3 linked regions of the Macaca fascicularis genome follow. The protein of the gene in region 1 interacts with the protein of each later gene in a pairwise test. Links are inferred from orthologs where the notes say so. Each region holds a gene or a part of one and is shown in the gene's direction. Other genes may lie near its edges.

The links.
Region 2: the proteins of DDI1 (region 1) and KLHL42 interact in binary tests that used the Homo sapiens proteins (3 or more experiments, as listed by UniProt). The two-hybrid records come from large-scale screens. The link is inferred for Macaca fascicularis from reciprocal best matches to the Homo sapiens genes DDI1 and KLHL42.
Region 3: the proteins of DDI1 (region 1) and CYGB interact in binary tests that used the Homo sapiens proteins (3 or more experiments, as listed by UniProt). The two-hybrid records come from large-scale screens. The link is inferred for Macaca fascicularis from reciprocal best matches to the Homo sapiens genes DDI1 and CYGB.

The regions. Positions count from the first base shown.
Region 1 is NC_088388.1:103,052,077-103,056,047, forward strand, and holds the start of DDI1 (protein DDI1 homolog 1), read left to right. Parts: upstream 1-1,165; 5' UTR 1,166-2,480; coding exon 2,481-3,671; 3' UTR 3,672-3,971. UniProt on the Homo sapiens protein: Probable aspartic protease. Seems to act as a proteasomal shuttle which links the proteasome and replication fork proteins like RTF2. Required, with DDI2, for cellular survival following replication stress.
Region 2 is NC_088385.1:30,541,807-30,544,917, forward strand, and holds part of KLHL42 (kelch-like protein 42), read left to right. Parts: intron 1-410; coding exon 411-862; 3' UTR 863-3,111. UniProt on the Homo sapiens protein: Substrate-specific adapter of a BCR (BTB-CUL3-RBX1) E3 ubiquitin-protein ligase complex required for mitotic progression and cytokinesis. The BCR(KLHL42) E3 ubiquitin ligase complex mediates the ubiquitination and subsequent degradation of KATNA1.
Region 3 is NC_088390.1:82,981,666-82,985,184, reverse strand, and holds part of CYGB (cytoglobin), read left to right. Parts: intron 1-3,097; coding exon 3,098-3,329; intron 3,330-3,519. UniProt on the Homo sapiens protein: Probable multifunctional globin with a hexacoordinated heme iron required for the catalysis of various reactions depending on redox condition of the cell as well as oxygen availability.

The DNA.
Region 1 (3,971 bases):
AGCAGTGAGTGAGACATAGTCTTCCATCGGAGACAAACGCATGAGAAAATAATTCTTTAGGCTGATGTGAACTTCCTTCTCTCCATAATGGTATAATGGTATAATGTTGTCCTTGTAACAACACTTTAAAGAAGTGGGGGACTAGGCAGAGGATACTGACTATCTTGGTTCACAAGTAGGTACACCTGAGAGGACCAAGCCAGGGAAACAGGAGTTCTGTACGTGCAATACACTTTTTTGTGAGATGCAGTCTCGCTCTGTCACCCAGGCTGGATGCCAGTGGCGCAATCTCGGCTCACTGCAATCTCCACCTCCCAGGTTCATGCCATTCTCCTGCCTCAGCCTCCAGAGTAGCTGGGACTACAGGCGCCTGCCACCAAGCCCGGCTAATTTTTTGTATTTTTAGGAGAGACAGGGTTTCACCGTGTTAGCCAGGATGGTCTCGATCTCCTGACCTCATGATCCGCCTGCCTCGGCCTCCCAAAGTGCTGGGATTACACGCGGAAACTACTGCGCCTGGCCATAAAACACTTTATTAAACATAGAGGAAAATAACTGGCATGCAAGGATTTCTACCCAATCATCATTTGCCTTGAAGGACTTTTCACCCTTACCATGACAGCCTCCTGTGTGTGTGTGTGTGTGTGTACACATGTGTGTGTAAGTTGGGGTGGGGGAGAGTAGGGGGAAGGTGGCTGTGCCCAAGTGTCAGAGAGAGGCATATTGGACTCTAGGGTGGCATCCTGAATGCATTTTCCTACAGAACTGATGTCAAGTGGGTCACCTCAAAGGTTCATCTCATTCATTCACTCCCTTCAAGGCAATGGCCGATCTACCCTATATCCCATTTTAGAGATGCTCTGTGTTATCCACACACTCCATTTCTTTTACACTCCCCACCTCCAAGGGGTATGTATGCACATTCTGTCCATTTTACTCAAGAAACATGTTTCTTCTCTACTGCTTTGGCTTCAGTCCTCCTGACATTTCCACACTCTAGCAACAGCTCCCTCTTTGAACCACCGGAAAAGCCTGCTACCTGGCCCTCCTGCCACGTTATGTCCTCCATGTGTTGCAAGAAGCCTCTTCCTTAAGTCAATTTAAAAAAAAAATCACAAATACCTGCTTCAAATCTTTTCCCTTTCCTTTCATTCCCTACTTCTTTTTTCTTTCTTTTTTGGAGGGGGAATTATTGTTAATTGATAATATTTAATATTTAAACTCCTTAGATTCATATATGACTTCATACATTGGCTCCAACTAATTTTTTTCCAGTTTCATATCCTGGTACTCAAAGTCATGTACATTATTTTATTGCATAAAATGTCTCATCTTTCTCTAGAAATAACAGTCCTTGCCATAAATTCCTGCTTTTGTAACATGAAACGGCTTTCCTTTGGAGTGAGACCACTTTTCACCTGAAACATGCTCATCCTTCAACATCCAGCTTGTCTCCTCCTTAGGAAAACATCCTCTGTTCTGTTGGTGATACTGAAGGCAGTAAGTACCCTGAAAATGTCTTTGTAAAAGTTTTGCCTTTAGTATTGTGATTACCCATTCACCTGTCTATCCCTTTCCAGAAATGTGAGCTCCTCAAGGGCAGGCTCCAAGTCTGACTTTCCTACTGTGCACATACGATGGTACTTGCCACGCCAAGAAACAAATCCTTACTGTTTGGGGAAAAAACAAAAGTACAAAGAATACAACTCTAATATGAACAAAACGAATGATAATATGCTGTTTAGAAAGTATTGAAAAACCAGGCACATTGGCTCACACTTTGGGAGGCCGAAGTGTGGTGGATTGCTTGAGCCCAGGAGTCGGAGGCCAGCCCGGGCAACATAGTGAGACCCCGTCTCTATTAAAAAACAAACGAACAAAAAAACACAGCCCTGGCAACATAGTGAGACCCCATCTCTATTAAAAAAAAAATACAACAATTAGCCGGGCATGGTAGATTGTGCCTGTAGTTCCAGCTTTTCAGGAGGCTGAGAAAGGAGGACTGCTTGAGCCCACGAGGTCGAGGCTACAGTGAGCTGTGATCATGCCACAGCACGCCAGCCTGGGTGACAGGATAAGATCCTGTCTCAAAAAAAAAAAAAAAAAAAAATGTGTTGAGGTCATTTCTTTCATATCATGTGTTAAATAGGCTTCCAAGGGCTGGCCTTGAAACCTGACAGCTTTGAGCCATTGTGTTTCCATGGGAGTAGGCATTCTAGGTTCCAAACCGCGCACTTACAAATGGACTTTGGAACACAACGTGCTACCTCAAGGCTCCACCTGGCCACACGGCAGGCACTGAGGCTGGGAGGCAGCCCCCAGACAGATGAGTGTCCGCTCCTCTCTGAGAGGTGAATGAGCCCGAGGGGTCCCGACCTACGGAGTCGTGAGGAGCAGCGGCGCCAACGACGCAGGCCCGCCCCAGCCCGCCAGCGAGCCGCCCATGCCCTCTGCCCGCCTGGCCCGCCTGGGCCCTCGCCATGCTGATCACCGTGTACTGCGTGCGGAGGGACCTCTCCGAGGCCACCTTCTCCCTCCAGGTCAGCCCCGACTTTGAGCTCCGAAACTTCAAGGTCCTCTGCGAGGCGGAGTCCAGAGTCCCCGCCGAAGAGATCCAGATCATCCACATGGAGCGACTCCTCATCGAGGACCACTGTTCCCTGGGCTCCTACGGCCTCAAAGATGGCGATGTCGTGGTTTTACTGCAGAAGGACAATGTGGGACCCCGGGCTCCAGGGCGTGCCCCGAACCAGCCTCGTATAGACTTCAGCGGCATTGCGGTGCCCGGGACGTCCAGCTCCCGCCCGCAGCACCCAGGGCAGCAGCAGCAGCGCACACCCGCCGCCCAGCGGTCTCATGGCCTGGCCTCCGGAGAGACGGTGGGCGTCCCGCAAGGTCTGGGCAGCCCCGGCCTGATCCGCAGCATGCTGCTCTCCAACCCGCACGATCTGTCGCTGCTCAAGGAACGCAACCCCCCCTTGGCGGAAGCCCTGCTCAGCGGAAGCCTTGAGACCTTTTCTCAGGTGCTGATGGCGCAGCAAAGGGAAAAGGCCTTGAGAGAGCAAGAGAGGCTTCATCTCTACACGGCCGACCCCCTGGACCGGGAAGCTCAGGCCAAAATAGAAGAGGAAATCCGGCAGCAGAACATTGAAGAAAACATGAATATAGCGATAGAAGAGGCCCCCGAGAGTTTCGGACAAGTGACGATGCTCTATATTAACTGCAAAGTGAATGGGCATCCTTTGAAGGCTTTTGTTGATTCTGGCGCCCAGATGACCATTATGAGCCAGGCTTGTGCCGAGCGATGTAACATCATGAGGCTGGTGGACCGACGGTGGGCTGGGGTTGCTAAAGGAGTGGGCACACAGAGAATTATTGGCCGTGTTCATCTAGCTCAGATTCAAATTGAAGGTGATTTCTTACAGTGCTCTTTCTCCATACTTGAGGATCAACCCATGGATATGCTTCTAGGCCTAGATATGCTCCGGAGACATCAATGTTCCATCGATTTGAAGAAAAATGTGCTAGTCATCGGCACCACTGGCACGCAGACTTACTTTCTTCCTGAGGGAGAGTTGCCCTTATGCTCTAGGATGGTAAATGGGAAAGATGAGTCTTCGGACAAGGAAATTACACATTCGGTCATGGATTCAGGACGAAAAGAGCATTAAAGCACGTTATAAATATGTCACCACCTTGAGGGAGGCTCAGGTCCCCGGAAATTATACAGTAAGAGCTCACTGGCAATGTAATCATTAAAAATCATCAGTAACAACTAAACCTGGCCTTGGGACTACGTTCTCAGATGGGTAACTACATCAATCCTGATTCCTTGGTCTTGGTCCCTCTTCCATTTCCCTTGTCCAGAGATCACTGAAAGACATCCTGGGAAGGCTCTGGAGGCTCCAGCTGATTTCCAGATAATCCATGAAAAAGAAAACCAGCTTCTTCCTTTAGAGACACTATCCTAT
Region 2 (3,111 bases), on another chromosome or scaffold:
ATAATCTGCTTCCTGCCCAGCCTGGCTTCTGTATTAAGTAGTCGGTAATTTTGTAGCTATTGATGAGGGGTCTGAGGCACTTACTTTTTTTTACACTGACCTGGTGGTTCACGGGTGTGGAGATACCAGGGAGGAGGGGCTGTGTGAAAGTCAGAGCTGCTCTTTTTCCTGGTTTTATCCAGTCTGAGTCTCCCAAGGCAGAGACGTTTGGGAGTGAGAAGTGAGTGTGGATGGATCTAAATATATCTCTTCCCAGCCATTTTGAAAATGGTTTTCCCAAGTTGTGCTTTTTCTGAAACAGTTTTTTCTCTTTGTTACCAAATTATGCATGTAGAGTTAGACATTTCTGTACAGCCTTGCCTAGTGGCGTTAGTGGGGGCGGAGTCATCACTTGCCTTTCTTTCTTTCAGACCGGAACATGAACATTTTGCAGTACTGCCCCTCTTCCGACATCTGGACGCTGTTTGAAACATGTGACGTCCACATTCGCAAGCAGCAGATGGTGTCTGTAGAAGAGACCATCTACATCGTCGGGGGGTGTCTCCACGAGCTGGGGCCCAACCGCAGGAGCAGCCAGAGCGAAGACATGCTCACCGTGCAGTCCTACAACACCGTCACCCGCCAGTGGCTCTACCTCAAGGAGAACACGTCCAAATCGGGTCTTAACTTGACTTGTGCGCTCCATAACGACGGCATCTACATCATGAGCAGAGATGTCACCCTGTCGACCAGCTTGGAACACCGAGTGTTCCTCAAGTACAACATCTTTTCAGATAGTTGGGAAGCATTTCGGCGTTTTCCAGCTTTTGGACATAACTTGCTGGTTTCTTCTCTTTATCTGCCCAATAAAGCAGAAACATGACTGAATTGAATTAGTAGATGAAAGAAACCTGGTTCAAGATTTTTTTTAAAATGTGGTGTCCCATTCCAAGGGAGACCGATTCCTAAAGGGTAAAGAAGGGTTAAAGTAGGTCACATATATACAGTAGCAGCTGTAAATAAGCTTACTTGAATTAATTACTTGAAAACTGTTGGAAAAAAGAGACCAACTTTGTTATTTTTTAAATTATTGATTTTTAAATTATGGGAGCAAATCCATCTCCAGACATGATACTCGGGCCAATGACGGATCATCAAAATGTAGATTCATTGTGTCTGTGTGGTAAAGGGCCAAAGTCAATAATTGGAACAAATGGTAAAGATGATTTTAAAATCTGTTGTATTTAGGACCCTTGAGATGTCATTAGCACCTTAAGTGAGAGGTTTTCTTATCAATGTGCTTGACAAGCATTCATATTAACATACTCATTCTCTCTTCTCCATCACCCATACCCACACATACATCTAGTATGTTTAAAATAGGGTTCTGTGTTCAGATATTTTGTTTGCACACTACTTTTTAGGAAACTTATAATGATGGAGCCCTACAGTGAATCCTTACCAGTGTTCAGTCCTCCCCAAAACTTGGATAAAAATATTCTCAGCTATTTTTCCAGCCGTTTTTGCAGTTACAAATGCTGAATGAATAGACTGATGTAACCTTTTATTTTATTTATGTGACAGACTGCATATTTATGTGGACACATAGGTTGCATTGCTAGGCATTCTGTATGGTTTTAAAGAGGATATATTATTTAGAAAAATGGATATATGAATATTTTTAAAAATTGAGTCTTAAATTTAAATGGGAAGGGAAGAAAACACCAAATAAGAAAAAAATTTGCCTTTAAGAGTTACCTTTATTGAATGTATTTGACTTAGTTCTTATTTTAAGGCTAAAAACACTTTGTCATATTTAAGTCAGGCAACTTTCTAATTTAATCTTAGCTTTGTAATTCATGTTTTTGCTTTTGTAGACTAAGGTAAGGACAGCATTTAAATATTTGTGCTGGAGTGAGGGGAAGACTCTTACAGAAGTGGAATGGTTTCTGGTGGTATTTCTGAAGTTAGGTAAAGTGCTTTACTTGCCTTGGTTAATTGAAATAGAATTCAGCTCAAGCAGTTGTTTTCACTGAGTGAGTTAACAATAAAAGCTTCTGCCAATCATAGATCAACATTCCTCAAAATATACTCATACTTATGGAAATTTTATTTTGATTGAAAACACTCTGAAATTATGTGATATTTTGTGATGGAATCAGTTAAACTGTGAGCTGGATTCCATTTTTCTGCAGTAACAGCAGGCAGAACCATTTCAGTTAGCATGTGCCTCACTTTTAAGAAAGTCCCGTAGGGGGAGAAAAAACTGTCGGAACAAATTCATGCATTCAACAAACACTTACTGAGTGCCTGGAGTATGCCGTCCACTGTGCAGATGTAGGTAGGACAGGGGCTAATCACTTAGAGTTCTTCAGTTTATTAGCGGAGTCATTACAGGGTTTCTTTACAACCATGGCCTCTAGTATACTTAAAATAAGGGTCCAGTTATAAAAAGCCTATTTGCACAACTTTTTGGGAATACTTCTATTAACTAAAATGAGGTAAGCCATTATTTTGGACATAGAGATCTTTGTATCTTATCACCAAATAATCTTATCTCTAGTCTACTTAGAACTTTGTAAGGGTTTCTAAGCTGTGCCCATTTATTCCCAAATATTATGCCCTTAAAAAATAACCTCTGAACCAAAATCTTCCCAGGAATAGTACTTAATAGATTTTAATGTTAATTTATATTCATTGTAGAAATGAATTTCCAGTGACCTATAATTTCATTACATATATTTTAAAATTTAATTTATTTTAGATGATGTTAACTTTTTGTTGCTGAAAAGCTTAACGTTTTAAAGACTTAGTCCTATACATTTAGAAGATGAGTCAGTTGAATTAGTACTGGACAAACAGTTGGAGATTAGTTTGCACATAAGCACATCATATCAAATACAATATTCCAGCCAACTAGTTAATTATCTTCCTGATTACATTCATTGGGTCTGTTTGCCTAATGTTGACAATTAAATTCTTGGATCAAGTGGAGGTATGCTGTGATCCACAAAGCTCTTTTATAACCCAGGATTTGTGTGTGTGTGTGTGTGTGTGTGTGTGTGTGTGTGTTTGCATATTATAGCTCTCTTTAAGACAGACATCTAACAAGATTTTGTTATTCTGGGCTGC
Region 3 (3,519 bases), on another chromosome or scaffold:
GTCAAAGTAGGGCCTGCCTGGGCCCTTTCCTGGCACTGCCATCTACTTCGGTGGGCAATCTTGGACATCAATTCCTAATTCATAGAATGGGGATTAAAACAGTGCCTATCTCAGGAGAGAATTGCAAGGATTTGTGAGATCATACAGTAAGTGCTCAATAAATGTTCCCTGTTCTTTCCTCATCAGTAAAATAGAAGTAATACCTGCTTAGCTGTGGCAATTAAATACAGTAACAGGCTGGGCATGGTGGCTCACACCTGTAATCCCAGCACTTTGGGAGGCTGAGGTAGGCAGATCACCGGAGGTCAGGAGTTCAACACCAGCCTGGCCAGCATGGTGAAACCCTGTCTCTACTAAAAAGACAAAAATTAGCCAGGTGTGGTGGCGGGTACCTGTAATCCCAGCTAACTTGGGAGTCTGAGGCAGGAGAATCCCTTGAACCCGGTAGGCAGAGGTTGCAGTGGGCCAAGATTGCGCCACTGCACTCCAGCCTGGACAACAGAGTAAGATTCTGTCTCAAAAAGAAAAAAGAAAAGAAAAAGTACAAAAACATTGTAACACATCAGGCAAATATATATATATATATCATTGTTAATATTTTGTGTCAGGGTCTTGCTCTGTTACCCAAGCTGGAGTGCAGTGGTGCCATCAAGGTTCACTGCAGCCTCCAATCCTGGGCTCATGATGCGATCGGATCTTCCTGCTGCAGCCTCCCAAGTAGCTAGGAGTACAGACGGTCACCACCACACCCAGCCAATTTCTTTCTTTTTTTCTGGAGACAGGATCTCACTATGTTGCCCAGGCTGGTCTCGAACTCCTGGCCTCAAGTGATTTTCCTGCCTTGGCCTCCCAGAGTTCTGGGATTACAGGCATAAGCCACCACACCTGGCCTTTTATTATTATTATTATCATTATTTCTTTTGATTCAGGGTCTCACTCTGTCACCCAGGCTGGAGTGCAATGGCACGATCTTGGCTCCCTGCAGCCTTGCCCTCCTGGGTTCAAGTGATCCTCTCACTTTAGACTCCTGAGTAGCTGGAATCAAAGGTGTGCACCACCATACGTGGCTAATTTTTTGTATTTTGTAGAGACAGGGTTTGCCACATTGCCCAGGCTGGTCTCAAACGCCTGAGCTCGAGCAGTCCACCCGCCTTGGCGTCGTAAAGTGCTAGAATTACAGGCGTGAGCCACCATGCCCGGCCATATCGTTATTTTTTATTGCAATTGTAAAACCTCCAAAGTTTGAGATGCTCGTTTAAGTCCAAATTGGGTTTTTCACATTTGTCCCTCATTACAGTGCTTCTCCAGAAAATTCAATGTATTTTCAAACCCATCGCCTCACGTGTCCTCACCCGTGTATCCATGAAGCAGTAAGCGCAGCCCTCCTCTCGCCCTTCTGCAGACAGGGAGCTTGTGAAGCAGTTTGCCCAAGATCACAGTTGGCCTCTGGGAGGGGCCCTCCTGAGTCTCCACGCAGACTGTGCCCTGGTCACTGTGCAAACTTCCCCCGCCAATAGCAGCTCCACCACCAGCAGGGACGACCCGGCCAGATGCCCTCTCCACATCTGTTCTAGCCCTCACATCTGAGACTCGACTCCTGGCCAAAGGGCTGCTTCCGCAAATTATCAGCTCTCTCTGATCACAAAGGGGACACATGAAGGGGCAGAACAACCTGGAAGAACAGGTCCAGGACACTCCATACATTTTCTGGGGATTCACTTAAGTTATGTAAGTTCTGATTGAGTCCATGCCCATGTCTCACATGATGTCCAACCTCGACAGGGAGAGGAGGTACAAAAGTCATTGTCGGCCGGGCGTGGTGGCTCACACCTGTAATCCCAGCACTCTGGGAGGCTGAGGCAGGCGGATCACCTGAGGTCAGGAATTTGAGACCAGCCTCCAACATGGTGAAACCCCATCTCTACTAAAAATACAAAAAATTAGCTAGCCGGGCGTGGTGATGGATGCCTCTAGTTCCAACTACTCAGGAAGCTGAGGCAAGAGAATCACTTGAACCCAGGAGGCAGAGGTTGCAGTGAGCCAAGATTGCACCACTGCACTCCAGCCTGGTCTCTACTAAAAATACAAAAAATTAGCCAGGAGTGGTGACAGATGCCTGTAGTCCCATCTACTCAGGAAGCTGAGGCAAGAGAATCACTTGAACCCAGGAGGCAGAGGTTGCAGTGAGCCAAGATTGCACCACTGCACTCCAGCCTGGACAACAGAGTGAGACTCCATCTCAAAAAAAAAAAAAAAAAAAAGCCGTCATTTTCCACACTGCAGTGCCCCAGCTAGGGCAGGGGGTCAGAGGGTGCATGAGAGCCTTGGGATCCCGTCTGACAGGCTGGAAGGAGGGTAGGGAAGGTCACCTGAGTGGTGCCAATGGCCTCGGGGGCAAAGCATTTCGCCTGGGCCAGTCTGCTCCAGGTAAGGCATGTCTGACACAGGAAAAGGGTAGTAGAAAGGAATGTGGCTCACCTGAGGAACATTTTCCCAACGGTAAGTAAAGCCACTGAGCCAGGACAGGGATGATGTGAGTATAGTGGGGAATGTGGACATGAGTTTGAAGAAGTGGGTGGGGGACAGTTCAGAAGTCTGGAATGCCCGGTTAAGGAGTTTCGCTTTGGCAGACAATAGGGAGCCATTGAATGTTTTCGAGCATGAGCATGACTTCATGAAAGCAGTATCTTGGGAGAATCAGAACAGTTTCAGACCAACTGGAGAGGATTTAATTTCAGATCAACTCATGGTTCCAGAACCTGAGCTCTTACCCTCTCAGCTATGACTAGAGCAGGCCCTGAAGAGGGTGTAGAGTTTGGGAAGGAAGCAAGAAGCGAGGAAGACAGGGGCCTGGGAGAGGAAGCCACCAGCCTGAGCAAGCCTGGCAGATAGACACGGCCAGACTTGGTAGGGGTGAGCCAGCTTGGCCAGAGCGAGGAGGGTCTATGCTGAGGTCTACGGATGGTAGTGAAAACAGTGATGGTGCAGGGGTGGGGGAGACTGGGGTCCACTTTTTCAGCCCCCACTGTCCTGGCAGCTTCAGGGTGGGCCCGAGGCAGCCTCCAGCTTCAGCGACCACCCCTGTTCCTCTTGCCAGGTTCTTTGTGAACTTCCCCTCGGCCAAGCAGTACTTCAGCCAGTTCAAGCACATGGAGGAACCCCTGGAGATGGAGCGGAGCCCCCAGCTGCGGAAGCACGCCTGCCGAGTCATGGGGGCCCTCAACACTGTCGTGGAGAACCTGCACGACCCCGACAAGGTGTCCTCTGTGCTGGCCCTTGTGGGGAAAGCCCATGCCCTCAAGCACAAGGTGGAGCCAGTGTACTTCAAGGTATGCGCCCCGATCTGCTGCAGAGCCACCACCGCCCACACCTCATGGCCATCTGCAGCTCGAAGGCTCTGGGAGGGCTCCCTGGGGCAGCAGAGGTGATCCCACGAGTGGCTGCGAGAGGGAGGGGCAGTGCCCGGCAGCAGGATGGAGGGGCTCAGTCCAGGGCAACCCTTGTCCTGAGAGCACTGGG